Struthio camelus: one gene and its partners. The protein of the gene in region 1 purifies or fractionates together with the protein of each later gene. This does not show direct contact. Links are inferred from orthologs where the notes say so. Each region holds a gene or a part of one and is shown on either strand. Other genes may lie near its edges. The genes, in order: PPP2R2B, SERTAD4, MTCL1 and IER5.

Evidence for each region.
Region 2: the proteins of PPP2R2B (region 1) and SERTAD4 purify together in Homo sapiens (co-immunoprecipitation; 3 studies listed by BioGRID and IntAct, with this or other methods). This does not show direct contact. The link is inferred for Struthio camelus from reciprocal best matches to the Homo sapiens genes PPP2R2B and SERTAD4.
Region 3: the proteins of PPP2R2B (region 1) and MTCL1 purify together in Homo sapiens (affinity purification with mass spectrometry; 4 studies listed by BioGRID and IntAct, with this or other methods). This does not show direct contact. The link is inferred for Struthio camelus from reciprocal best matches to the Homo sapiens genes PPP2R2B and MTCL1.
Region 4: the proteins of PPP2R2B (region 1) and IER5 purify together in Homo sapiens (affinity purification with mass spectrometry; 4 studies listed by BioGRID and IntAct, with this or other methods). This does not show direct contact. The link is inferred for Struthio camelus from reciprocal best matches to the Homo sapiens genes PPP2R2B and IER5.

What each region holds. Positions count from the first base shown.
Region 1 is NC_090954.1:623,103-630,082, forward strand, and holds the start of PPP2R2B (serine/threonine-protein phosphatase 2A 55 kDa regulatory subunit B beta isoform), read left to right. Parts: upstream 1-3,976; 5' UTR 3,977-4,078; coding exon 4,079-4,088; intron 4,089-4,230; coding exon 4,231-4,308; intron 4,309-6,980. UniProt on the Homo sapiens protein: The B regulatory subunit might modulate substrate selectivity and catalytic activity, and might also direct the localization of the catalytic enzyme to a particular subcellular compartment.
Region 2 is NC_090944.1:113,208,019-113,215,753, forward strand, and holds the start of SERTAD4 (SERTA domain-containing protein 4), read left to right. Parts: upstream 1-4,730; 5' UTR 4,731-4,847; intron 4,848-5,212; 5' UTR 5,213-5,228; coding exon 5,229-5,421; intron 5,422-5,841; coding exon 5,842-5,957; intron 5,958-7,735.
Region 3 is NC_090943.1:116,633,768-116,641,209, forward strand, and holds the start of MTCL1 (microtubule cross-linking factor 1), read right to left. Parts: upstream 3,008-7,442; coding exon 2,123-3,007; intron 1-2,122. UniProt on the Homo sapiens protein: Microtubule-associated factor involved in the late phase of epithelial polarization and microtubule dynamics regulation.
Region 4 is NC_090949.1:6,943,357-6,949,346, reverse strand, and holds IER5 (immediate early response gene 5 protein), read right to left. Parts: upstream 1,971-5,990; 5' UTR 1,842-1,970; coding exon 1,071-1,841; 3' UTR 517-1,070; downstream 1-516. UniProt on the Homo sapiens protein: Plays a role as a transcription factor. Mediates positive transcriptional regulation of several chaperone genes during the heat shock response in a HSF1-dependent manner. Mediates negative transcriptional regulation of CDC25B expression.

The DNA of each region.
Region 1 (6,980 bases):
TTACCTTTCTAAGATGCCCAAGCAAGATCATCTAAAATGTCACTTTTTAAAACTAGACTGCCTGTGTCTACAGAGTGCGCTAACAACTGCAGTTCACAGCTGGGTAGTGTTGCCCCAAAACATAGCATGGTGTGTCTGAAGTCTAACTGAGTATAAGGAAATAATTTAGTTCTTGCTTATGAGCTGTTAGGACATGTGATACTATGGAATGAACTAATATTTATTTAGGAAAGAAAAGGTAGAAATGGAAATTAATAAAACATCAAATCCAAGGTTATGCATGAAATAAGAATGAATCCAACTATTTTTTGCAATGGCATAAACATTTTTATGGCATTGCTCAGCTTTAATTGGGGTAATGCCGTCTGTCGTTGTTTTTAATCCAGTTGCCAAGATTTTCTGCCAGTGCGACGCCTAATATTTAATTTAATTTAAAACTAAAGTGTTGAAAGTTTAAGAAGGCATGGAACTTAATTTTTCCTAGGACACTATTCTGCATACATCCATACTGAAAGTGTTTTGTATATTGAAATTGGAAAACAGATCTGTTTAAAACATGTGCTAGAAGTATGCCTTTGGAAATAAATTCTCCCTCATGAAACATATCATTGTTAAAGGGGCAAAATACTAGCCTTTAGTATTGCAGTTAATCATCCTGTGTCTTTCAGCTCAGTTTGAAGGCCACCATGAATTCTTTCTCATCCAACTTCCATCCATTTAAAGAACTATTTGGATGGTTTCTATAATATTTATTGCAATAGTCCCGTTGTAATATGACATGCCACATTTATCTCTAATTTGGAAACTACAATCTCTAGAAAATCTGCAGTCTATAAAATGGAGTCCGTTTACAATCTTTTCATGTGGAAATGTTTCAAGAGGGTAGAAATGGTCTTCAAGACTTTGTTGAGCAACTCAAGGAAACAGAAAACCTGGTCCATAGTTTAAAAGTAAAACAAGTGCCTCCTGATAAATAACACATTGTTAATGGCTGAAACAACTTAATTATAATTATTATTATTATTTAATTTTAATTATTTTCATGGGATAGAGTGGTCTTTGCTCAGGTAATTACAACAGAGAATTAGAGGCAAGTGGCTCACCTACTTTATATCCTGTTTGACATTCTGTCATATATATTCCTTTAATTTTCTTTGCAAAGGTATTTTATTTGGGCCAGATTCTGAAGTTATTGTTTGTTTTTTTTTTACTGTCCCTAGTAAGGGAAGAAAATTATTGGCTTTGTTGTTGTGTTTTTCCTAAGAGCTCAATGACTTAAAAAATGAAACTCAAATTCTGTTGGAGTTAATCCATGCAGGGTTGCGTCAGTTTGTGTAGAAGGTGAGTTAATTCTGGAGGATTCAAAGTGGTGCACCAGGATAGGAAATTCTTAGCACCAACAAAAGTGTGTTTCCTTCCCTGTCCCCAGATTTGCACTAACTTGTAAAGTAGAATTTGCAGCTTTTCAGTAGTCTATAAGATGACCTCTATCAGACAGACAGTGAAAATACACTTGGACCAAAATCTGTTCTAATTCAGCTTCTTTTCTGACTGACTCCAATGTGAGTGGTACCTGAATCCATGGAGTAATATCAGGATGAGGACAGGATTTCAAATGGCCAAACATATTTATCAATACCTAAGTTTGAGTACAGAATTAGGCCTTTCATCCCTGCTCTCACTAGAAGCACCACTGGATCTTCAGTCGCTGTAAATAGTCAGAGGCAGACTTACCAGTAGAAATCTATTAAAAATTAGGCTTATTTAAAAACAACCAGAACCACATTAGATACCTGCCTTTGTTTGTTATCTATATTAAAACTGTTCCTAAAGATTTTTATAAGCAGCTGCGTCGTAACAAACAGTCCAGTGGATTGACAGAAGGCCTATTTATTTCATACCAGCCCAGCCATTTACCGTAGCCGATACAATGGCAAAGGGGTCACTTTTCAGGGCTGTTGAGAATATAAATAATTCTTCTAAAAACTCATTTTTGCATTTCATGAAGAAAAACCCTGATCTGATGCTGAGAAAAAAAATGTAGCTTTTCTTTAACAAGAGCTGCAGACAATGCTGAATTACAGCTGTCCCTAGCTGGGCAAACAGCCAGCAAGAAAACCAGGGTTTGTTAACTCATGGGGTTTCATACTCTCTGTCTATTCTCCTTTCCAGGTCCATTCTTGCAAACAGGCAAGACATTGAAAACCACAAAAATGCCATTTCTCAGAAACTTGTTAGATCTGATTGGATTCTCAGGCTAGGAGGAAGAATTTTAAGTCACAAATCCTTTTTTGCTTCAAGGAGTTGGTTATTTCCTTTTATCTGAGAGGAGGTAATAACGATACAAAAGAGCTTTCTGGAAAGGGCATAATGACATTGCTCCTCTCAACCAGCATGTTGTTCTCTTGCTTTTCAAACCTATTAGCAAAATTTATGAGGCATTAATGTTTATACAACAATGTTAACAATTTTTTTGTAAATTTGTAATTTTTTTCACATCTTCATGTCATATTCTTGTAGCTGTGCCTATTGTTTGATGATGTTAAATTAGGAATCTCACTAAACTTAATATTCTTTCAAGGTCTTATCAAACTGTGTCATACCCTCAGACTCCAGGTCTTTTTGTACTCTTAAAACTCCAGATTTCACCGTATTTGGCTTGACTCTTCCAAAAAACTCATTCTACAATTTGTAGGTACTGTTGTAATGCATTGTATATGATTATTTTGCTGTTTAACATATTTGATATCTATTGATCTGTATTAATATGCAAAAAATGGCCATGATATAAATAAAAACACTTTTGAAAGTTATAAGCATAAGTAGTTAGGATTTCCTCCTCATTTTGCGTTTCCTAATCTTTGCATCATTTTCAATTTTAATGTTTTTCATGGAATTATAAAAACAGACAACAAATAAATGGAAAGACAGAGCAGCAGACGGATGGATGCCTGGACAGATAGTTGTCTGGAGCATATATGTATAACAGAAAATGGGAAGATCAAATTAAATGTAAGTTTCAAATAAACTATATTCAGATTTCCCTTTCTTTGACTCTAAAACTTGAACAGGTTATTTCCTCAGCATAGTTCTGTTAGGACAGAAATCTCACAAAGACATGTGGCTAGGCTACGAGTTGGTTTGCTTAACTTAGTTATACCTCTACCTATACATTATCTGTCTATCCATCCTATTTTTTCTTTTGTAAGAAAGGAATAAGTTAGAGTATAGCTTGGTCTCCTGATTAAGATCACACTTGCAGACTGTGAAACACTCAAATTTTCTGGTGCCACATTTCAACTGTGTGTAAAATGGGTAAAATGGTATTTCCTTCCCTCACGACTCCATTGTGCTGCTTTCTTCACGTTTGAAAAGTGCTTAGAGATAAAATGTGTGTTAGGATAAGAGGAAGCAAGTTGTCCTTAGAGGCTGTGAATTTTTTGCTACAGTGAAAACTGCATTACAGAAAGGAAAAATTTGCTGAGCTGTCAGGAGAATGAGCAGCAGTAGATAAAATCCTGATTTCTCTCGGAGTGTCTTAACACAAGAGTATTGCTACAGTAGCAAGAGCAGTTTAGAGATACACAGTTTACTAAACATGCCTTATAATAGAAATGCCTGTAGTATTCGTTTAAAACAAATACAGTATACTTCTGATTCCAGGCAAATTTTGATAATATTGTTATGATGCATCTAATGTGGTTTCATTCTGCTGAGAATCACTGCCAAGCAGTTCACAACTACATTGGCCATAAACTGGAAAAAATGTTGTTGTTGTTGTTGTTGTTGTTGTTGTTGTTGTAGCTCTTTTTTTCTCTGTTTCACTCCCTTTTTAACAACGATGGAAATGATGTGGGCATTAGTATTCTGGTGAAGAGAGGCTGTGACAAAGACCGTGACTACAGGGCCTCCTGACTCTTCTATGATGCTGCCAGTGATGTAGAGGGGACTGACTCCAATTGCACCATTTTCAAAATAGCCCTAACATGGTACAGAGAAAACAGACAGACAAGCAATTCATAACGCAGGCATAATGTTTTCAGTTTTGCAGTGTTAGCTTTGCACTTTGTATGGAAGAATGATACCAGGTGAGCAAATATTTCTCTTCACGCAGGGACTGCAGATATTTGTGTGCCAATTTGTATGTGCATGTGTGTGTGTTTGTTCAAAAAAAGACGAGCTGTACAGAAGTGTGAGTATATCTTCTTTCTGCATTTGTTCCCCTGGCAGGATTTGGAAACCTCATGCAGGATGTGCTGTGGTGTTTTAGTCAAGTAAAAGGAACTATTGACATTGGGGTGACAGAAGGTAGGTTTATTTTTCCTTTTGTTGCTTTGATCAAAGATAACTTGTTTGTCTTGTACTCTTTGCCTAATCAATGTATGGGGGGGGTTGCTCACATGTTGTTGGGTGAAACTGCTGGCAGAGTTGAGTTATGCTTCTTTACTCTTCTGCTTTTCTCCAGTATTTATGTACTTGAAAAAGGTCACTAAAATTAGCTATTGATCCAAAAGATTCATTTGAAGCCATTATGTCTTAAGCATAGTAATAGTCTTAAGCATCATAGTAGTATGCCTTAAGCATCAATAGTCTTTGAAATACATTTCCTTTGATTTTCAGCTTTTATTTACGTGAGCGTTTCAGGTAATTGAGACCACCTCTGCCACCATAATATCCTTTACTGGAATCAGTTGGATTCTGCTTCTGGGTATTAACATAAGTATTAAAACACTGCTCATTCTTGTATGCAGGGTTAAAATAATTTACAGTGTATACACTTACACAGATATGTGCCCGTGCAGGAGGGATTAACACAGGCAGTTGGGGGATTTAAGAGCAGAAGACACATAACATCTTCTTTCACACCCAGTAGCTTTCAGGGTGATTTGTACTGCTAAATGACTTGGGCACTTCTCTCCCTGCAAGCACACCCATTCTATATTTGGCATTTTGACTGCAAAAACATGGACAATCAAAAATAAATAATATATTCAGTTTTCCTGACCTTGAAGTTGAATATATTCTTTCAGTCCCTCCTACGTTGATGGTTCTATTTTTAACTTCTTAATGGTCATTTTCTTAGTCTTATTTCCCACTTCCATCTTCCTTTCTCCTATTGCATTGCTCTCGTTAATCCATGAATTTCTTTACCTCTCTATTTCACCATTTATTCCCTATATGATCCCTATACTTCACATACATACATACACACACATATATATGTATATATACACTATATCTATACTTTGCCCCTCATGTATAACTAAGATCACATCCCTCTTCTCCTAACTCTCCCTTTACAGGCAGCATTTTTGTGCCACAGGGAGACCAGCTAAACCATGGTGAAATCCTATCTTCCAATGTGTAGAGGGGTTTGGTTTGTGTTGTTACACTGACCTTTTATATTTGCGGGCTGTCATATTTTTCCTGTCATGCTTTGTTTAAAGCTCCAGAGAGCATGAGATGTGTTCTCTGGTGTGACACTGCAGAATGACCACAGGATGGTCAGAGATCTATGGTACAGCATATGAGAACGCTGCCCATCAGGTCTTAACTGCCCTGGCAGAACGCTGCCAATCTTTTCTGCTTGAAACCAGTGTGTAGACACTACTAGTGGCATTTCATTGCTCCAACTGAATGGCTTTAGAAGTGAGAATGATTCCAGGAAAAGAGCTTGCGGAAAAGTGCAGCAGTGCCTGGTAAAGTGCTGCTAATAGTGCGACTGCTTGCAGCTCCTTATGTGGATATTAAGATAATAAATGTAGGAACTGAGTTAGCTTACTGGATGTATTTCTTCTACTTTGTGGTACTCCCTGAAGCATAAGGCTTACTTTAAAAGCACAGTCTTGTAAGACTGAGAAGGGAACTGAGTTAGCCCAAGTCTCTGACAGCAGAGCTCTAACTTCTCCTCCTCTAGGGAATGTGATTCTATCTGGAGTATTGTCATGTGTTTTGCTTCAGTGGCAGTTATTTGTTGCGCTGCTTTTTGCAGAAGAGGGCTGCTGTCTGTAACCTCTAGAGACTACAGTGGTGCACAAAACTCAGAATATTTAAAAATGTGTTAAATCTCTGGGAAAAAATAATTGACTGCAATTAAAATCACAGCGTTTTTCTGTTAAGATGCTTTTTGCAGAAATTACTACAAGTGCTTTGAACTTTTACTGTAGAATCTTAAAATCATTTTAAATGGTCAAGGGCACTTATTTGCCAGTTCAGGACTGATAAAATGGTAGCTTGCCTCTTCTTCCTCACTACCCTTCCTTCACGTAACCTGTTATCAGCTGAATGCTATAAGCTGTTATTTTTCACATTTGAGACTCGATGCCAGAGGAATACAGAGACATGGTGACAGAAAAGGACCCCTGTAATCTTTGTGGGAGGTAACCTGAAGCCACGGAACAGAAAAGCCTCAGAGATGTTACTTTAAAGGCCATATTCAGTGAAAAAAATAACAAAAAAAAATCACGTTGATCTGTAAAATCTTGTCAACAGGAACAGATGACTGGGCAGAAAGCTCAGCAGAATATTTTAGGTATGGGATTGGGCTATTGGCTGCTACGCTGTTTTTGCTTGTGTTCACATGTGAATATGTGTGTGTGTATACAGATGTACGTACACATATATCGCAGCGTTCCAATCTCTCCCCTTCATCAGAAGTTTATCCATAATTCGTTGGCTTTAGTAGTCTTCATGGCACATTTCTGACCTTTAGAACTCTTGCTAACATCCAAGCATCCTGAATTTACAAAATGTAATTTCATTAATTATTGGAATGCATGCAGTTGTATACTGTTAGTTGAAAGGAAATGTTGCTATTATGTTTACTATGTACTGCATCTTTGAATGTAGAGGATCCTGCCGCCTGCAGCAGAATACACTGTAATTCTGGCTTTTAACTGATATTTTAAAAAGATGCAGAGAGTAATTCTGTATGCCTACTGTTTTCCATGCACACATAAACCCACATACATACACACTTT
Region 2 (7,735 bases), on another chromosome or scaffold:
CCTAGAAAAAAAATCCCAACAGAGGATTGCTTGAATTTCCCTCAAGTGAGGGCCAAGAAATACAGGGAAAAACACTAGACTTGGCAGGTCTATAGTTTATCTACCTCAGAAGGATGAAGAGCTGAATTGACCCTGTTGGCACACAGACCTGTTGTTTTACCAGTCTAGATATTTCACCCGATCTTAACTCTTTCACATCACTCCTGTATCATGCTCATGTGAAATGGTATTATATATGTTTCCGATACAACATGCATTGGAAAGAATGGAAAAACATCACTGCACAGAGTCCGCGCTGACTTGCTGCCACCTGTCGTCATTTCCCCCTTCCCCTCTGCCTCTTCCCTGCGGTCGCTTGACATCTCCCTTCTTCGTGCCTTTTGTACCAGGTTATCGTTGCACCTTCCAGCGGTGCCCTGCTCCTCTTTTTCTACCAAGTACGTGGCTCCCTCCTTCAGACTGACTCCTCTGTTTACTGTTGATCGGGAACCCTCACTCCCTTTTCCACTCCAGCCTCTGGCGAACGCGGGGCCCCGGCCCTTTCTTCGTTCTCCGCTGTGGCGCTAAACTGGGAGCTCGCTGCTCAGGAGCGAATGCTCCGTATCAGTGTGCTGAAATACCGTAGTTCGTCTCACCTGTTCGTATTATCGAGATATGGAGGAGATCTTTGTTTTCCTTCGGGCCTGTCTGCGTCTGCTCCCAAACCATGGCCTGTCTCTTGGAAGTCCAGCTTTCCGTTTACATTCAGCACAGCCAATTCTAGATGTTTCCCACTTAACCCAATGCTTGCAATCTTGCTGTTCTCGTTACCACCAGAGCCTTGAATTCAGGGATCTGCTTGACTCTTGGCGGTCATTTACTGTGGCTCAGTTGCCCCAGTTTTCCGCTGCTTCACTCACAATGTTTCTGTAACTGCATCCTTATCTATTCAGGCAATAAGCATTTGAATCAAGGCCCTGGTATTTCCCATCTAGGCTTGTAACTTCTTCCCCCTTGAACTTCTGGCATGACAGCTAGCTTGATCTACTCAAGCAAAAGCTCTTACGTCTCCTTCCATGCCCATTGCTGTGGTCCGAGCCAATCGCCTCCTGCCTTTCCTCCTTATTTTCCTGCGTCAAGTCAAGTCCTTTGTTTTCCCGTTCTAGGCCGTCTCAGCTCTGCCTTGGTTGTTGCTGCCCCACGACTGTCTCCACTGCGTGGCTCTTCTCGCTGTTCACCGGGGAGGCGGGCGTCCCTGTGCGTTTGTCTGCTTCTCGCGGGAGAGCCTTTTGGCCCTTTCCCACGCTGCTCTTGCCCACAGAGCCTCCACCGGATAGATTGGTGATACCCAACTTTGTTGCAGCAACCGTGAAGACTAGGCAGCTATGAAAGAGGCTACGCTGGAATTGTTTATGTGCGATGTTGTTGTTGCTTTTTTCATGTATATGCAGCACTCTGTGCAGTATCTTTCCCTTTCCTCTCTCTGGATGCCGCTTGCTTTCTTTAGACCCTGGGTGCAGACAAGCACTGCTTGTGCGCAGGGCTTGTACAGGGGGATTTCTGCAGTGTGAATTTCAAATAACACCAGCAAGGTAACAGCCACCAACATGAAGGCAATGATATTTCCTAAGCACTATGATCCACAGTGATATAGTACAGTTAAGAAGCATTGCTCTGTCCTTAAGTTGTCTTGTTATGCTATGAAAATACTCCAGAACAGGGTGTATGATAAATACTGAAACCTCAAGAGCACTTAAGTACAAGCCCAGGACTTAAGAAAGGCATAGCCCCTTTAAGACTATTCTCTTGTCCTTATTGATCTTGGTGAGACCTGCAGCATTATTGTAGCAGGCATTTTATATTTAAGTTGGGGTTTTTAGAGGCATTCTGGAGCTATATAAAGAGCCCTTTTCACTGACATCGGCATCAGGCTTGTTATAATGTGAATGGCATCATTACAGTTCTCTCATTAACATCATAATGGCTCTGGAGGAACAGTGAGTGAAAACCCCGGCAAATGGAGTGGAGTAGCAATGTATAGTAGTCGTACTGTGCAAAACCGCATACGGAAAAAGTTTGACATTTTAACCTTCAGGCTGCTGTAGATGCCTCAGGGTGTCCTTGCACTGCATGCGTTTGGCTGACAAAGTGGAAAAACTGTGGTAGCCTAAGGATTGAGGGCTGGGTTCAATAAAAAATTGTGCCTGGCTTCCATGCCACTGAAGCCCACACAAGGCTCCCAAATGGATTTCTTAAAATTGAATCCAGCCCTAAGTGTCAACCTTTTGCTGTAATTTTGTATAGTACATGTATTGTGTGCTCAAACGTGCATCTTTCATCCTTTACTTCCAGTGGTGTTAATGGAAATGTAACAATGCATGTGCTGTTCTGCAAGGTCTCATTGAAATGAATGGGATTTTGGACGAAATCCCTACACTACATACAATAATGTACTACAAATGGGCTGGGCTTGTGGCTGGGGGATGATGAGATCTGGGTTCTATTTCTAGCTCTGACGCTGGTTTGCTCTGTGACTTTTGGCAAAATATTCAAGAGTAGCTTTTGCCACCCTTAACGGGGAGAAACAGTATCTTAATTCTTTAGGAGTAATGCCGGAGCTCTGGCAGAGTGCCGACGTTAGGTACGGTACCACTCTGTCGGTAAGACCGACCTCTTCAGCCTTGCAGTTGCGTGGTGCCGAACTTTACACGGAAGGAGGCTGATGTTTCAGATGTGCCGAGTACTCGCAGCTCCCCTCCCACTCATTTGCAGCAGTTGGAAATCAGTGCTTCTGAAAATCAAACAAGAGCAAATCGCATGCCCAGAATCGGAAGCCCTTTTCAAAGACTGGCTCTCGGCTTCTGTGCACTGAAGCAATTTCTTTGCTACAAAATGGGGCTTATTTTGTAGCTGAGTGACACCACGCCGAGACCTACAATTTGGGGGGGGGGGGAGGTTGCCTTCTTTTTTCCCCCTAAGGAAGCTCTATGTTTTGTTTTTATTCTATTTGAAAACATGGAGAATGTGCATGGACAGTAGCTGTTTATAGAAGTGAACTGGCCTGCCTCTATTAATTTTGCATGTTGTAAATAGCAGCAGCAGTTCATTTACTTTACAGGCTGTCCACAGAACTCAGTTTTTCAAGATAAATCAGCAGCGCTGTGCAGAAGGCATCCCAACACTTCCTTCCTTCCTGTGTGTTTCTGCTTAAGCATAGAAAGACCTGTTTGTGATGAAACATGGTAAAAAAATGCACAGTCCAGATCTCCAATGCTATTCTCATAAAAAATTTCCACAAAGAGATGCTGAATTCATTACAAGCAAAGAAATACCGACTTTCCACAAGCGGCAGCGAGTTTCTTCCAACCCTTATTCTCTAAGGACAAATGCTGCATGTTGACATCATGCCAACATTAGGAGACTGATGTCTGACTGTGAGTGATGCCTCAGTGCAGATTAATGAGACGAGTCCACGGGTGCTTTCTAACGACAGTGTAATCCTTTCACGCACGAAATCTATGACTTTTTAAGCTAGTTTGTAGGCTTTTTTTTAGATCTTCTCCTTAGGTCAGCCGACTCACCCACTCGTGGTTTGGACCAGACTTTCCATGTGTCGGCACTCAGCTGGCAACCCAAGGGGCAGGGAACAATGTGTATTGTCTGTGTCATGGCTCGTTCCTAACGGGCCGGTCCGGTGGCCTGGGGTTCCTCGTGTCAGCGTTTCTTTCTCCAGAAAAAGCAAGATGGCATTAATGCGCTACTCTGAGAAAAGGGGCCGGGGGTCACGTGTAACGTGTGCTTCCTTGCCTGTAAGCCTGGTTCAAGCTAGAAAATAATTTGATTATGAGGAAGGGGTTTATGCATCTCTTAGTGCATTTGCGGTGGCGCCTGGTGGCCTTCACCGAGCTAAATGCTCAGGGATTTCAGCTGACTTCCCATTCGCCTCCCGTCCTCTGCCTCAGCGAGGAGCGCAGCGCAGACCCGGCGACGCGCGCAGCTCAGGAACAGAAAGTTAGTGCGTGCTGGAAGACCGTTTCTTAATAACGTAGCAGCCTTGCGCATTCTTCAAGGATTTAAGAAAACAACCGGCAGATGTGAATGATTTATTCTTCTCCTTCTCCTGCTGCCGTTTCTTTTCTCCCCCCCCCCCCCCGCCCCCGACTAGACAGAGCTCCGCCGCTAACGCAAACAACCGCCGGGCTTCCACCTTGCCCACCTGCGGCCCCCTTCTCGCCCTGCGCTTGGGCCCTTGCGTCCCCCCCGCGGGAAGATTGCACGGGGAGGAAACTATATCCCGCTTTCTTCGAGAGAGGAGGAGGAAGAGGAGGAGGAGGAGGGGCGAGGCTGCGGCTCGGGGCATTGTTCCACGCGCCTCTGCCGGGGAGCCGGTGCCGCTGGACTCATCCCCGGCCCCTGGCGGAAAGTTTGCTCGGTGCGCGGCGCTGCGCGGCGCTGCGCGGCCCGGCTGGCGGCGGCAGGAGGCGGCTCGCAGCCCGGCGCTGGCCCTGCGGTCCCCGCTCCTGTTTAATATTCTGCCTTGCTCCGCCGATGTTGTGCTTGGCTCCTGCGGGACTGCAACTCACGGCTTGAAACCGGAGCCAATTTTCTGTCTTAGTCTCGCAGTGTTTTGACTGGAGGCAGATCCAGTTCAGTCCGAGCGGGGCTAGTGGAAACAACTACCTAAGTCTCTTCTGTCTGTTCCGTTTGGGAGGGAAGAAAGAAGAAAGAAACGCAATCCCCAACTGGTGTGTGCGCGCACACACACGCACACGCACACACACACACACGCACACACACCCGCCGGTGCCGAGCGCGCTGTGCCAACGCCACCGGGAGAATATGGGAAGCGAGTGAGCGGATCCGTGCCGGTGTGTGAGCGGTGCCGGGCCGGGCCGGGGGGCAGTGGGGGGACCCCGCGCCCTGTGTGGGGAGGGCTCGGTCGGGGCTCGGCTCTTTTGCTTGCGACAAGGAGGGAGGGGGGAAAAAAAGAAAAAAAAAAAAAACAGGTTGGCAACGTACGCGTGCCCGCCTGTGTGCATGATGCATCTGCTCCGGCCGCGGCGGAAAGCCCCGGCGGAGGGCGGGCAGGTGAAACGCGGCGGCGGCGGGCTGCGGGGGCACCGGGAGGGCGGCTCGGCTCGGCCCGGCCCGGCTCGGCCCGGCCCGGCTCGGCTCGGCTCGGCCCGGCTCGGCGCCGCTGCGCGGGGCGCTGACGCCGCTGCTTCGCTTCCAGGTGCCGGGCGCCCGCGATGACCCTGGTGCTGCCCATGCAGCGGCTGGGCCACCCCATCGCCGCCGCCGCCGCCGAGGGAGCCGCCGACCTCGCCGCCTGCCGCGCCCTCTGGGAGCCGCCCTGCTGCGGCCGCCCCGGCCCCGGCCCCGGCCCCGGCCCCGGCCCCGGCCCCGCCGCAGCCCCGGCCCCGGCCCCGGCCCCGGGCGCAGGTAGGCACCGCCGCGCCGGGCGGCCGGGCTGCAGGGGCAGGGGGCGGCGGGTTTGGGGCAGGTGTATGAAACCCGCTGGTAGCGAGCGGCGGGGGCGGCCGGGGCGCCCTGACCGGCGCAGCCGCTCGTCCGGCTGGCTGGAAAGCGGGGAGGAAAGTTTTGCCCAAGCCGCCAGGCCGGGGGATGTGTCGAGCCTGCCAGCGCTGCCCCTTGAGACGGTCCTCGGTGGCCCGGGCCAGCGCACGTTGCGCGCGGTGTGTGCGTGAGGCAGGTGAAGGTTTTACTTTTGATCGCTACGGACATATGCGAAAATATGTGGTGGAGCTCTCCTGTAGCGAGAGAGGGAAATGAGAAGTATTTTGTTTGGAGAACCTCCGGCAAACCGCATGTCATTTGTCATATCTGATTTATTGCCCACAGGATCACATTACAGGGGAATTTCAAATCCTGTAACAACACCCAAGATCACATACTTTAAAAGGAAATATGTGGAAGAAGAGGATTTTCATCCACCACTCAGCAGCTGTACACATAAAGTATGTTTTCTAGTAGTCATTATTTTTACTCCGAGTTTCAGATGCTTAGTAACGCTTGACTGACCCATTTCCAGAAGGCTGAAATACTCCACTGAAATTAGGAGAATGATCCAGCTGTTTGCTTAGAAATGAATAGTTCTCACTTGTTCGCATTTATTGTTTTGTTGTCATCGAATGGCTTCAGAAGGAAAGGCATTTCTTCAGCTATAACAACTGTAAATGTAAATGCTCAGAATAACTTTTGTGTTCTTAAGAACATAGTTTTGCTCTTAAGTAGCTTACATCATCTTTATAGAGACAGTTCTCTAGAGTTTAAACACCAAAAATGAACAATGTAAATAAGAAGGATGCATGTTTCCCCATTCACTCGAAACTTTTTACAGAGGGGAAAATAATAATAGGTTCCATATAGCCCAAACAGGTATAGAGTTTCTCTAGAGAAACAGAATGACTTGAGAGGGAGTTCAATCTCCTTCAGTATTTAATCCTGTTTATAGAAAAGCTAATAACTACAAAAGAACAGATTAGGAAATGAAAAATATATTTTTTTTAATTAAAGCTCTCAAGAGAGGGACTAGAGCAAACACTTCTCAGGCCGGTGAATACATAAATTGAAGTCTAACTTTTTATGAGAGATTTTATGCCCTTGCTCAGTCCTGTAAGGAACTGAACACCTGCACTGATGTGCTGAAGGCTAGCTTGCACCTTGAGACCTCCTCCTTACCTGACTGGATCATACCTGGCCCATGGTACTCCTGTGCTATCCGTTTACGATTGGAGATAGAGATGACATAATACAATGTGATTAAAGCACTGCTCAGGGAAGGCAGTAGTACCATGAGAGCCCCAGAGGCAGAAGCCAAAACAAAGCAAGAGGCAGAGCGAGTTTCTACATTATCTTCGCTTGCATTGCAGTTCCCACCTGGAGAGGCAGCCTCTGAGACGAGATGGGATTTCAGGCCTCATTCATACCACGGGCACCTCCTGGGGAGGTTTGGCCATTTGGATCCTATTTCTCCGGAGAGATTTTCACTTAGGAGAAGTGAGCAGTAGTGACAAGCTCGCTCCCCCAGGACCTCAGGATAGCCAAAGGAGTTTTCAGCTACAAATAGTATTGGCTGGAAGTGAATAATTGACCGGAAGGTGAAAAATTGCCCTGTCGTTAATTCCAGAAGATGTTTCATCTGCTTTCAGAACAATGAATAAATGGCACAGAAGGTGCTGAAAAATGTGCTCTATTTATACATATATGTACATATATATGTTGTGTGTGTGTGTGTGTGTGTGTATACATACGTTCATACACACATCATTCTCTAATTTCAGCCAACTCTTTTCTTGAATAGATTGTTGGATTTTTGTACCAGTGATTATTTGCCTCCTAAAAATGAACAGTTGCTTCTCCTTTTTAATAGCATGAAAAACAGCTGTAGAGGTACTGGTAAGATAGACCTGTCTCAGACATCATTTTGTGCTATTGTAGAAATGTATCATGTCAGAAATCTCGGGTCACCGATTTGTGCTTTTCGGCACAGATACGTTTTCTACTCTGCAGCGCTGAGCTCTGGGGGAGGGAGGATTCCCACCAGATTTCTTTGAATTCCTTACACGTTTTTATACCTCCTCTGCCCAGTAAAGAGCGAGCTATGTTCTCGGGTTACTTCTTCCCACGGCGGGTATGACGGTAGGGCCCTGGAGCCCCTCTCCAGGACAGCTGGCAAAGCATTTGTAGTGGAAGGCCTTTGACAACTTGTAACTACTGGTGGCTCTCCAGGACA
Region 3 (7,442 bases), on another chromosome or scaffold:
CATCAAGGTGAAAGACTTGAAGACACTGTCACACAGGGCAAGAAATGAGAAATGACGCAGAATAAAGCTCGCTACCTAGGATCTGTCGATCAGGTCCTCTGGTCAGTACCAGGGGTCCAGTACCCTCACGGTGGCCTGTCCTAGACAACTCAGAGGAAGGGGCACGGAAACTCACAGTAGGCAGGTAACATTCTCCATAACATCAACCCCCCCCCCCTTTTTTTTTTTTTTTTTTTTTTTTTTTAAGTCTCCCATAATTAGAAACTACCTTGGACACGAAACAAGCAGCTTAACACATTCTTCATAATGGTCAGCTTCACCAAGTTCATCACCTGCTTCACAAAGTTAAGTACTGTAAGTCTGCAAACCCTGTCATCTGAAAGGATAGCCAGTTCCTCTTCTGGGTATTACTGGGCTTTTGACCCCAAAGACCAATGCAGTTTAACTATTTGTAAAAGCAATCCTTTAACAAGTCTGGATTTCATTACATGTCCCCTTGTTTCTCTCATGCAGAACAGAAGCTTCTGATAAAGGTTCTCTACGCTATTCATCTTTTTACTGACCTTTATTGCATTTCTCTAGTGCACTACAGAGTCTTCTATCCAATATGAATCTTGTAAGAGCTTTGCTATGCCCCAATAGTTTTTATTGCTCTAGTTCTGCATTATCCTTTTCTAGATGACCAGCACTGCCCACAGTATTCCAGTGCATATAATGGCTATGAATCTATAAAACATTATGATATTTTCTTTGCTTTTTTGCCATTCAGTTTCTAATGCAATCTAGTACTACCTGCAGTTGCACACTGAGCATTGCTCTTTCCACTGTGATGCTCCTGAGTTAAAACAACGCATTTAAAACCTAGAAAAGTATATATTCAGCCCTTTTTCTCTCTGAATGCTTTGAATTTTCAGTACTGAGATTTATTTCGCATCCTCTGCCTTCACTTTTTACCCATTCACCTCCCCTGATTAAGCTGCCTATGGAGTTCTGTCCAGTCTTTGCTGGACTTCACATCAAAAAAAAAATCTGTGTCATCTGAAAAATTTGCTGTATCATTGCTCACTCCTTATTCCAGTTCATGAAGCAGCACCAGACAGCACAGAACCTTGCAGCACCCCTGCTGTTAACCTTTTGCTATGCTGCACATCGTTTCTTGTCTCCTAGCCAAAACTGCTTAACAAGCCTAGTCTACCTCTTCGCCATCCTCCTTTCTCCCAAGGTTACGAAACTCCAGTCCTCACTAGAGCAAAAATCCCTTGGATGCCCATGGTCATTTTGCTTGAGAAGAAATGGTGTTTGTGATATTCAGAGAACAAAGATCGTCCTCACCAGCAGCAGAGTCAAATGGTACAGTATCTGTGGTTACATGATTATCTCAGTTTATTTTATTTATAGATCTTTATGGATGCAGCCTCTTTGCTGTGCCAAAAGATCATGTTGTAAGTACTAGTCCAACAAAAGGTTTCTGCAGGTCAGATCAGCTCAGAGCACTCCTGAATTTAGCTTTCCCGTTTTCTCAGAGGCTGAATGCACATATGTGTGCTTTTCTACCTGTACAACGATGCAAAGACTCCTTTTACGGCTGCTATTGTTACTTCGTTAGTACTTCACAATGAATGGCTTGGCTCTTCAGTGACAAAGTAACACGATAAACAGACAAGACGCTGTCCTCTTTCCGATATCAAATGAGTTGTTTTTTTTTTTTTCTTTCCTGTAAGGGTGATATTGAGGATAACAATTCCTGGAAAGCGAGGTCTCCGGTAACCAGCGGAGTGCTCACTCTGCTTCAGAAAGAGTTTGGGCATGGCTGAGGGATCACGCACCGCCCAGCCACAGCACTCTTACCGCACCCGTCGCGCCGGCCTCGCGTTCATCCAGCCTCTATAAATCAAGCCTTTTGCAGAGAAACACGACCACACGCCGAAGCCCCCTACCTGCCCCTGCGACGCCTTGCTACGGCCCCGCTCCGCGCCGACCTCCGCCCGCGCTGCCCGCAGCGGCCCCGACGGGCGCGAGTAAACCCGGCGGTCCGCGGCGCGGCCCCCCCACCCCCGCCCCAGACGGGCACCCCCGAGTCACCGCTGCCCCGGGCGGGGGGGGGGGTCTCGGCGGGTCTCACCTTGAGGTACTCGTTCTCCGAGCGCAGCTCCTCCATCTCCCGCTGCAGCTCCTCCTGGGCCGCCCGCGGCGGCTCGCCGCGGCCCGGCGCTCGCCCTCCGCCCGGCGCGGCGGCGGCGGCGGCCCCCGGGGGGGCGGGCAGCGGGGCCGCGGGGTCGCCGCGGGGGCCGCCGGGGGGCAGCGGGGCGCCGCGGCCGGGGCCGGCGGCGGGTCCGTGGCGGGGCGGCTCCCGCTCGCGGTCGCTGGAGCCGGTGCCGGACTCGGCGTCGCTGCTGGCGGCCGGGGCCAGGCGCTGCTCGTCGGAGAGCGGCTCGGAGGGGCAGTCGGAGAGGTCGGAGCTGCTGTCCGTGTGGCTGACGCGGGCCAGCGCCAGCGCCGCCGCCGCCGCATGGCCGCTGCCCGCCGCCGCGCCCCGCTTCGCCTTCCTGCCCTTGCCGGGCGGCGGGGCCGCCTCGCCGCCGGGCTGCCGCCCCCCGCCGCGGCCGCCGGGCCCGGGCTCCGGCCCGCGGGCCGCCCGCTTGGCGCAGGGGGCGGCTTTGGCGGCGGCCGCCCGCCCGGCAGCAGCGGCAGCAGCGGCGGCCGCCTTGGCCCCGGGGGCGGCGGGGCGGCGGGAGAGGCGGCCCTGCGCCGCCAGCAGCCCCGCGGCGTGAGGCGACGACGGCGGCGGTGGCGGCGGCTGCGCCCGGCCGGGGAGGCTGGGAGACTTGGGGGGCGCCGGCGGCGGCTTGGCGGAGGCGGCGCGGGCGTGCAGGTCCTTGAGGAAGGGTCTGGCGGGGGACGGGGCTCGGTTCAGCCGCTTCTTCTCGGCGTGCGGGTGGTGGTGGCTGGGCGGCGGCGGCCGCAGCGTGTCCCCGGGGCCGGGGCCGGGGCCGTTCAGCGCCTCCATGGCGCGGGCCGGGGGCGGCGGGGCGGCAGCGGCGGCCGCGGGGGCGCCCGGCTGCGGCGGCGGCGGCGGCAGCAGGAGCGGCGGTGCCCGCGGAGCCCGGTCGCAGCAGCACGAGCAGCCTCCTCCAGCCTCCCCGCTTGCTTTCTCATCACTTCTGCTTCTCCCAGCCACAGCCCTCACACTTTTCTTTCCCGATCCCCCTCGTCCTGCCCTCCCCCTCCTCCCCCTCGCTCCCTCTCTCCCGAGCACTGATTTGTTTCAATAAAACGAATCCCAGTCCCTCGGCGGCAGCTTCTCCTCCTCCCTCTCCCTCTCCTTCTCCTTCCCCTCCCGCTCCCCTCTCTGCCTGGCTCGCCTCGATGCAGCTCAAGTTGTGATGCAGCCCGAAAAAAAAAAAAAAAAAGAAAGAAAAAAAGAAAACGACTCCCTTTTCCCTCGAATCCGATGCAAAGGAGTCTTTCCCGGCTGCCTTCGCCTCCGCTCGCAAATCCTCGCTCAGCCCGCCGGCGCGGCTAACCCCATGGCTCCCCGGTCGGTGCCCGCGGCCCCGGCGCGGCGCGCCCCGGCCCCGGCCGCCGCCTCCGCCGGCTCCTGAAATAGCCCCGCCGCTGCCGGGGCCGCTCCGGCGCGGCGCTCCCCGCCTGTGCGCAGGATCCGCCCCCTCTGTCAGCCAGCCAAGCTGCTCTCGCTGCAAACTACTTTCCTCGAGCTCCCCGCATGCCGTGTTGTAGGGGCGCCTCTGCCAGTCACTTCCTATAAGGAAGCCTGATTTGGGGGTGGGAGGGGGCAACATCTTAATTTCCCAGCCATGAGCTGTATAGCGTTGCGTGTTGATTTTTTTTTCCCTTCCAAGCTAAGACTCCACGAAAACCCTCTCTCCAGAGATCTGCAGCAACAAAACAACAGTCACCGCATTATATCTTTGCTTAAGGCAGGCACAGGTTCACCCAGAGGCAGGGCTGAGTATCTGAGGGAATCAGCAAGTTCCTGGCTGTGGCTAAACTACAAAAGGCACGGACCTATCCTTCTGGAGCACAGGGATATGAAATTAAAGACCTTAAATTTGCGAAGCGTTCGAAGAACACATGAAAGGGAGGAGAGGCTAAAGCGTGGGAAAGAGGCACAGCCTAACTGGGTAACGCACAACGGCAACAGTCAGGGTGTTTCTGACTCCTCCACTCAAGCACAGTGAGACCTTGTACAAGCCACGGTGGCTCCCTGACGTTTATCTGTCAAAGAAAGATGGTAAATGCATGCTTGTCTCATAAAGTTATTGGGAGGCTTAATTCATCTGAGTCTGAACAGCAGTGATTGCGGCATGCTCTGGGCAAGTGCAGTCCAAGTGGGGGGTGGCGTGCCAGCACCCTTGGGCACACAGGGTCTCCCACCCTGCTCGTCTAGGTGCAAAGTATTACCCTGAAAGGCAAAAGCCCTTGGGACTGCTGAAGTCTGAGGGCACTAGATACCATTACAAAAACAGTCCAGGCGGGCTGAGGTAAGGTCAGCATCCGGCTCTGGGGAAAGGGTTTGAAACCTGGTCTCGGGGTGGCAGCCAGGTCCAATGCGCAGAGTCACCTGAAATGGGCCAGTCAGCTCGTCTGGGGAAGAACTGGGACGGCGCTGGTATCCTGGGACTTCTTGTCCTGGTAAACGAGAAGTTTTAGTGGGCAAAACTGATGTATCCTGCTGAAGAGCAACACAGATGCTACCCTATTAGTATGCAACAGGTAGTCATTATTTGTAAAAGCTATAGTGCTGAAAAATTATTCAAATCAGAACTGTATTACAGGTCTCCAGAAATTAAGAGCGGCTCCTCAGTACCTCCCTGGTTAACATGCCAGCCCCGTGAGCTTGCCTGATGACAGGGTTTCGGCAACCACCAGCCCTTCGGCGGCTCCCTGCATCCCGGGGGCAACGCTCAGTGCCTGACGCCTGCGAGGGCTCCAGCACTTTGGTTAAAGCCCCCGACCTGGGGCTGAAGAGCTGGGGGCGCATCCTGGGGTCACACATGTCCCCCACCGAGGGGTTGGCTGCCCCAAGAGAGTGGCATGGTCCTTCTACAAGTGGCTGGGGCAGGAGAGCAAACTCTGCCACAGAGCATGGAGAGATTTTCTTTTTTTCTCTTTAACAAATGTAGCTTCTGCTACAGCTTACAGTTTTCCCTGATTGGCACTGCTGCTGGTCAGTTAAGTTCCCTCATCCAAATGTTCTTTTTAGGTCACATGGCAAAGTATTTTTGAGCAGTGTGGCAAAGATTGCATTTGCTGCTGCCTGTCTGTACGTATAGTATAGATATGAGGCAGATTGTGTGGGGCCAACTCCTTTACCATTTATACAAAGTACTCTGAGGAAAGGAGAACACAACAAGCCTGCTGTCAAGCGTAAGCCACTTTTTCTCCCTCGGTGTACAGTACTAATAATTGATTGTTAATTGGATGAGAAGACCAGTCTATAGAAGCAATACGAAGCAGCTCTGCTAGACTTTTCTCTAGAAGAACAGCTTATAAAATATACACTATTGTTACATTTTAATGCCATGGCATTTCTGTCAGACTACTGCATGTATCAGTCTTTTCTGCTAAGCTGTTGTGTTCTTGGTTTGTTCGGCAACATACTATTGTGCGATTTGAGCAATCCTCCTTTTCTAAATTTCTGGAGTGAAAGAGATGATGGCTGCTGTATTTCATCTTAAGTAATATTAATTATTATACATGTCACCCTAGATGATAGATACAATAAAGGTTGTTTTACTCTAGTACGTTCACTCTCACTTGCTTTTTGTTGTAACCTTTAAGAACAGACAGGAATTCCAGCTTCACCTACTAGATTTTAAATGTTTCTAAGTCTTATGATGGAAGAGGAACTGCTCTGTCATAATTTATGAGTATTCTGTTTTGACATAGTTGCTCCATGAACACAAAAGTTCAATTCAAAAGGAAAATGAAAGGAAAAAGTATAGCTCAAGATAAGCCACTTTTCTACAAACAATAGTTGAGAGACAGTGCCACTGGAGGGGAAAAGACTTAGGAAGGTTGAGAAAAGAGCACATTCACAAAGGGCTGGGAATTATCTGGGGGAATTAATCTGTGACACTTGAGTGCCTGGCAGAGTCCAGTTTGCTTAGGTTACCTTGTAAATTTTACATTGTAAACACATGCATACAGATTGTTGTTGTTGTTGTTATTTTATGACCCTTTTTTCACTAAATGCTTTCTTTCAGCTACTAAATGCTTTATTTGTAAGGTGTCTTGTTATATCACTGTGCATTATGGGCCACAAGTTCCAAAAGACAAAGACAAGGAGGACCTCAACTCAGTCAGACTTACTGGGAAGGTGCCCAGAATCTACTTTCAGAATAACTAAAGGCCCAAGATCTGGCAGGGTGACCTTAGACTAGCAAGGGGACTGGCGATCAGATACCTCTATAAACATTTATCCTTGTATTCTGTATGTGTTCCTTTCACTGAAGTATACAGCAAGGTTTGTTATCCTTTGCATTCAGAGGCAGCATCAGTTCAACTAGGCATCATAGCAAGTGATTTATTTACATTGATACTCAAACAAAATCACATTCGAACTGGAAATGTAAAACAGGAAAACACACATTAGACTGAGACCAAAGCTCAGTCACACTAAGATCCCTTTATATTGCTCTAGCAGTATAAAGAGTTCAATAACAAAGAAATGCAGTATCAATAACCCTTGCTGGGCAGGTGCCTAGCTGGATACAGATGGCGAATTTTTGTGGTACGAGCCCAGCTGTAGTGTTTTGGCTGTGTTCCTCTGTCCTCTGCTATCTATGCAGTGCCATTTGGAGATCCTTAAAAAAGTGGTGTAACTGGGCATGGTGTGAGTGAGAATAATACCCTAATATGAAAGCTAAGTACATACCACAGAAATCTCTATTGGGCTAGGCAAATGCCCAGTAAGGAATACAGGTATCATATTTCTTATTTATTTATATCAAACCATTTCTCCCCTTACATAAAACTCACTAATGGTTCATGCAGGAGCATGCCACCACAGACTGCCTGTCACGCTTACCCTAATTCTCCTCTCCCATTCTTTTTATTTTGCTTCTAATGTCCAATTGTTGTTTCTTATCTTAAATTAGTCATACATCCCTGGTGGTGGAACAGTTTCTTACAGCCTTGTGCAGCTCTTAACATAATAGGACGTCTGGGTGGTGGTTGAATAATACAAATAATCAGACATAACACTTTTACAACAAATTTATTTTGGCAATGCCGATGTCCTTTGCCTGATACATGCAGACTTTTGATAACCAAGTTGTACTTGCACAAATAATTGTGAAAAGTAGATGCTAAGCCTGACTATTCAGATTAGCTACCAAACATTTTACAAAGCATAAGGCACAGTTTGGCAGTGTAGGGCTCCCTAAATTCCTTTCTAGGGCTGAGGCACAGGACAGTTT
Region 4 (5,990 bases), on another chromosome or scaffold:
AGAGAGGCAGCTAGGCAGAGCCAAGCTGGGACTGCAGTACAGCTGCTCTTTCGGTATTTAGCAACCGCTTTCAGCGCAAAGGGAGCGCTTTGGCACATTAGGTACTTTCTGAGCAAGACTTCAAGTGCCACCACAGCCCCACCCCCCCCGCCCTAGTCGCAGTCTGACTTCACGAGCACATCACGGAGGCAGCAGGACTGCCCAGCGCTTCCCACCACCTCCCAGCTCTCCGCAGTCAGCGCCCCAGAGCAGCGCCGAGCAGGGAAGAGGCTGCAGCCAGAGGAGCCGTCGGATCAGCGGGCGGGATCCTGGGAGGGACTCCAATTGCCCTGACAGAAGTTTCCTTTCTTCCCAGCTCCCAGGAGAGCTGGGCTCCAACCCACCCCAAGCCTCTGGCTACGCAGGGTGGATCCAGCCACAGACACGCAGCAACCGCACCCTCGCGGCTGCCTGCCCGGCTCTCGGCTCCCCCCTCCCCACGCCAAGCGGGTGCACAAACAGGGACTACGCTTATACAGTTGGAAATATTTAATACGTGTTGTACACGTAGAGTTACATTTTATACAAAACGAGATACATCACTGAGGGAGAATACTGTACAAAATCCCTACCAGAGCCCCAAGCCTTTATACAACAAAGACCGGGACTTACCAAGCCTTAACAAACAGGCTCAAGGACTTTCCATCAGAGCGTCTGTAAACTTCGTTTCTCTCAATAAACACTTTTAAAAAAGCACCATGTAAGAGTTCCGGCCCTAAGCCTTTCCAAAATATAGACTTTATTTAATAAACTTAATACTTCCCGAGCTTAAAACGTGAGCCGGCGGCCAGGGCCGCCCAGGGCAAGTGCTGGTGCCCGGCGGCCGGGGCGGTGCAGGGCGCGGGGTCCGCCCGGCGCCGCGCTGCGCTCCCGCGGCCGAGCGGTCCGGTGCCGCGGGGGAGGGGGGGGTGGAGGGGGAGGGAAGAGGAGGAGGAGGGCGGGGGTCACCTCTAGGTCCGGCTGCCCGTCTGTCCGCTGGGCCCCCCCTGCCCGCGGCGGGGGGCGAGTCTCTGCTGCCCGCGCGCGGCGGGTCAGAAGGCCACGATGGCCGTGCTCCAGGGGTTGAGGGTCCGCAGCACCGGCTCGTCGCAGCAGATCTGCCCCGGCTCGGCCGCCGCCTCGGCGGGCGCTGCTGCTGCCGCCGCCGCCTCGCCGCCGTCGCGGGGCGCTCGCCGCCGGCCCGGCGGCTCCTTGCCGAGCAGTCCCGAGAAGCCGGAGCCGAAGATGCTGATGAGGTTGGCCACGTTGCCCGTCTCCATGTCCTCCTGCTCGCCCTGCGACGGCGGCGGCGGCGGCTCCTCCTCCGCCTCGCGGCGAGGTTTCTTCAGCGGTGAGCCCGCCTGGCCCCGCTCGCCGGCGCCGCGCTTCCGGGAGCAGCAGGGCGGCAGCGGCGCCGCGCCCCCCCCGCCGCCAGCGCAACCCGCCTCGCCGCCCGCCGCCGCCGCGCAGCAGCAGCCGCAGCGCCGCGCCCGGGGGCTCTCGCAGTCCGCGCCGGGCCGCCGCGGGCCGCCCCTAGGCGCCTCGTCCTGCGGCGGCGGCGGCGGCTCGCCCGGCGCCCATGCGGCGGCGGCGGCTCCGGGCGGCGGCGGCTCCTCCGTCGGCCCGCGGGGGGGGGCGCCGCCGGCCGGGGGCGGCTCGGGCGGGCAGCAGGGCTCGCTCAGGTAGACCTGCCGGGCGCTGCGCAGCACCAGCGACACCAGGAGGTTCTTGTGGAGCTTGAGGCCGCCGCGCTGGCCCCGCGCGCTGTAGATCTTGCCCAGCGAGATGCTGACGATGCGGTGCGCCTCCAGCTTGAACTCCATGGGGACGGGCGAGAGCTGCGCCGCCGCCGCCGCCGCGCAGGGCCGTAACGTGCCGTGTCCCGCCGCGCCGGGCCGCCCGCGCTCCGCCTCCGCTCGCCGCTCGCTCGCGCCGCCGACTGAGGCGAGCCCACGCACCCGGCCGCTTTATATAGTGCCCCCGCCCCGGCCAATCAGGGCGCCCCGCTGGCCGCTCCAACCGCCGGCGGGCCCCCGCGCGCCCGCGCCAGCCAATGGCGAGGCAGGGCAGCGGGTTCGAACGCGCGCCCCGCGGAGAGGGCCCTTAAAGCGGCAACGGCGGCGGTGGGGCCCGGCCTGCAGGCCACGCGTGGGACCACGTCTGGTCGGGAAGGGCGAGGAAAACCCGAAGCCCAGCCCAGCTCCTCAGGCCTTGCCCGACCCAGAGCGACAAGCCCAACCGTGCGGGCCGCTGTCGGCTCCCGTGGTTCTGTTTTCATTTGGGATGGGGATTTATTCTGGTTCTCCATCTCCGATGGAGATTTATCGGATCGGGAGGCAGCAGTGGGAGTTTTGGCCAACAACTGAAACATTTCTTAAAAAAAAAAAAAAAAAAAGCAAGAACCGCCCGTGGTTTTGTGAAGGTTACAAATGATTATTGCAATTTCGCCATCAGTCGCCAACATCGTGTAGTTTGAGAGAAGGGACGTATGTTGGGTGGAGGGGGCAACTGCACCTTTCAGTATTTCAAGGGAACTACGCCCCCGCTTTGACCAGAATCACATCGCTTCCCAGCTCCTTGAAGGAGGTTTCTCAGGTTTGGCGACGAAGCTCTCAGAAAGCTGACGATAAAAGAGGAAGATCAAAACCTGGGGGCAGGACAGCATAGGAACGGAGGCTGGGGGAGCACAGCAGGACACCAGCATCTCCAGCAGAGACACGGGGACCACGGCAGCCTGGCGCACTTCCCGTGGGAACTGAAAGCTTCCCGCCGCTCTGCCGTAGCAGTCGGCTATGAAGCCCCCAGGCAGGGCACGTGCTCCAGCCTGCCCTGGCGGCTCGGGGCCGCAGAGGCCAACCACCACCCCAGACATTCAGCTCAAGGCATCAGAGAAATCTCTGGGGACGCTTCACGCTGCTCCCTCTCTCCTTGCGGTCAGCTGCACCCCCACGTGCCGTTTCTCTCCGCAGAACCACGGCCTCGTGCAGCGACCAGGACGGACAAGCTCGGAGGGGTGTTTCCGGGCTCAGAGCGGGGCCATCCCTTTTTACTGAGAAGCGATCACCGCCTTCAGTGAAGGTGGCAGAAGGATACAAGAAATGAGGGTGAAATTAAGGAAGTTAAATGCCCTGCCCTGGAGTATCAGTTTCTGTTCCTGCTTCTTCAGCAGAGTTCCTGCCTGAGACTTGATGCGTTGCTTCAGTCCTTTTTCATAGGGATTCACTCACAGATCCCCCCCAAAATGAGAACCACAGTTAGCAGTGAGAAGCAAGACGGGAGCTGCAGAAGTGCCGGTTTTTGCCATCGAGACAAAGGTCAGCGTACGGGGGCTTTGAAGGAGCAAAGGGCTATTTAATAGCGAGTCCCTGTTATGCATTTCCATCAGGCCCCAAATCCCCCAAATGAGCACACAGCTGATAACCCCGGGGCTGCACTGGCTGTTGTAAAACAGGGACAGTCCTGTCAATGAACACCAGCAGGCTGGGGTGAAATCCAAATCACGTACGTCTGCAAAGTGACCTTATTGGGGGCAGCTGCTGCAGCCCTGCTGTCCCCTCTCCTCTCCTCTCCCCGCTGGAGCAGTCTGCCCCTTTCGCCACAGCCCTACCGGGCAGCTTGTTTGGGGCAATGAATTTGGCACTGAAGTGATCGCTTTCAGCTGGATCAGCTTCCTCAACTAGCTGTGCAGCTGCACCGGCGTTGGCGAAGGATGAGGCAGGCGGGGAAGCGGGGCCAGGGCTGTTCCCAGCCCGGTACAACAAGGTGCAGCACACTGGCTTGGGAACATGCCCTCTAAGACAGGAATAAGAAGCTATATCCAAATGTCATGTGATCGTGTCATTACAGACGTATCTCAGGACGAACAAGCACGAGAGGGGTGGGATGCAGGTTTCTTGAGCAATCTTTACGTTGGCTTGTCCTACCGTCTGAGTGCTTCACGTGGCAAGCATCTGTGTGCTGCTGAGTGAGGATCGCCTGGTTGGGTTTTCAATGCAATGCGGCGTATAACTCTCTGGCCCCTTATCGCAGGCTAGAGACAACGGGCTGCAAGCACAGCGTGGCTAAGCATTTCTCTCAGAGGTGTTTTTTAGAGATATACTGCCTCCTTTGTCTCTCCAGATGCTCTGCTGTTCTGTCTAGCCCAACTCTCACCTGCTGGTTGTTAGAAAACTTGCTTTCTCAGCACTACCTGCCACGCTCCTGGGGTTTCAGAAACAAGTCTTTGTTTCGTGCAGTCAAAAGGAGACAGAAAGAAACCAGCTCTTTTCTTTTTGAAACACTTCAAACTTGTCCCCAGATTCCTCGACAATTTTCCCCAGCCTCCCCGGCACCCTATCCAGCACACGAAGGCTATAAATGCAGTCATCTGGGGGTGGAAATAGGAACATCTGTGAGCTGAAACGCAGAGGACAAGGAGAGCTTTTACAAAGGAAAAACAGCAGAAAATGGATGTTATCGTTTTGCCAGAAAAGAGAGGGACCCTCCTATTTAGGCAGACACAGAAAAATTTCTTCACCACCCCAGCATCACCCATGCCAACTGCCTGCTGCTCCTTGGTGAATGCATCTCGCCCGCCTCCTCAGCATGCAGGACTTCAGCCTTGCTGTGCCAGTGACTCTCAGATGCCCTTTCCTGAGCTGATGCCTTACTGGCAAGAACTGCCACCGTGTTCTGGCTTCCCGGAAGGACAACAGGGTGGCTGGTAACAACAGTAACAAAAAACAAGTGAAGATTCAACCACAAACACATTAAGACACAGTTGACATGGCAGGAGCCTTCCCTGAGAAAAATCCAAACTCAGAACGAATGCATGTTTTTCTCTAGCTCAAATGCAGCTGAAAACCCCGAAATGCCACTCTCTGGACACTTCCTTTTGAACACGATGGTATGGTCTCCCAAAACAAAGCAGCCTGTGGTTTGACTTCTAAAAATTTGCACCTCCTCTCGCACAAACCTGCCAGGATGCCTCTTCTCAAATTACTAGACTGGAGCACTCGAGCGTGCTGTACAACAGCCTAGAAAGCCTTTCCCGACTCTCCCCCTCTCCGTGACAGCGCCAAGCCTTTCTCGGGTTGCAGAGGAAACCACCGCTGCAGAGACGCGGGCCGGGGCTCCGCCACCCACACAGGGCCGTGGGAGGCAGGAGGAATGCGAGTGACAGCGGTGGGAACGGAACCGACGGCGCTGCCGTCCTCAAGTTTCCAGACCTGCAGAACCTGATCCTGCGCCTCGGAGGGCCAGCAACTCCCTGGCCTTAAGCTCTCGGGTCAGTCTAACCAGCTCAGTCAGGTCTGGGTTCACATGTTTGGGACTTCAGTCACTCCTCTTCACTTACAGCCGCCATGCCTGCCCGCCACCAGCCGCTCCGTCCGCGCTGTGATGTTAGGTTACGCTCTTACAAGATGGTATCTCCCCTCGCTGTGACAGCAGATGAGTCACTTGCGGACCCTTGAGCTGGCTTGCAGGACCTGGGCCTCTGGTGTCATCAGCAGAGATGACTCTAGTTAGAAGAATAAAATCAGATTTCATATTTTTCATCTGACTGTATTCCTGCTGATTTCGTGATGCCACGTGCCTGACTCAAAAGCTGATGAAGACCAGTGGTGCAAAGCAGCTCTGTGAGCTGAAAAAGCTAAATATGGGTGGAAAAGACACTGCATAGGATCTATGCTGAGTAAAGGTGACTGCATCCAGAGCTGACTGACTTGTTCTGCCACCCGCCACCTCATCAGAATGATACGAGCCAACATTTCTCTCTGGTAGCCACCACCTACATTTTGGCCACCTAGTCTGCTTAAAACCATGGGCTGGCAGCCAAGGGAGGGCCAGTGTCCATCTTTTCTGCCTTCGTCAGCAATAAACATGATGTACCTTACGTATACATGTCATTAGTGCTCAGAAAGGGGCCTTTGAGATCCTTGCGGGGAAAGAGCAAAGAAATGCATCCCCTGAGCAGGAGGAGCTAATAACCA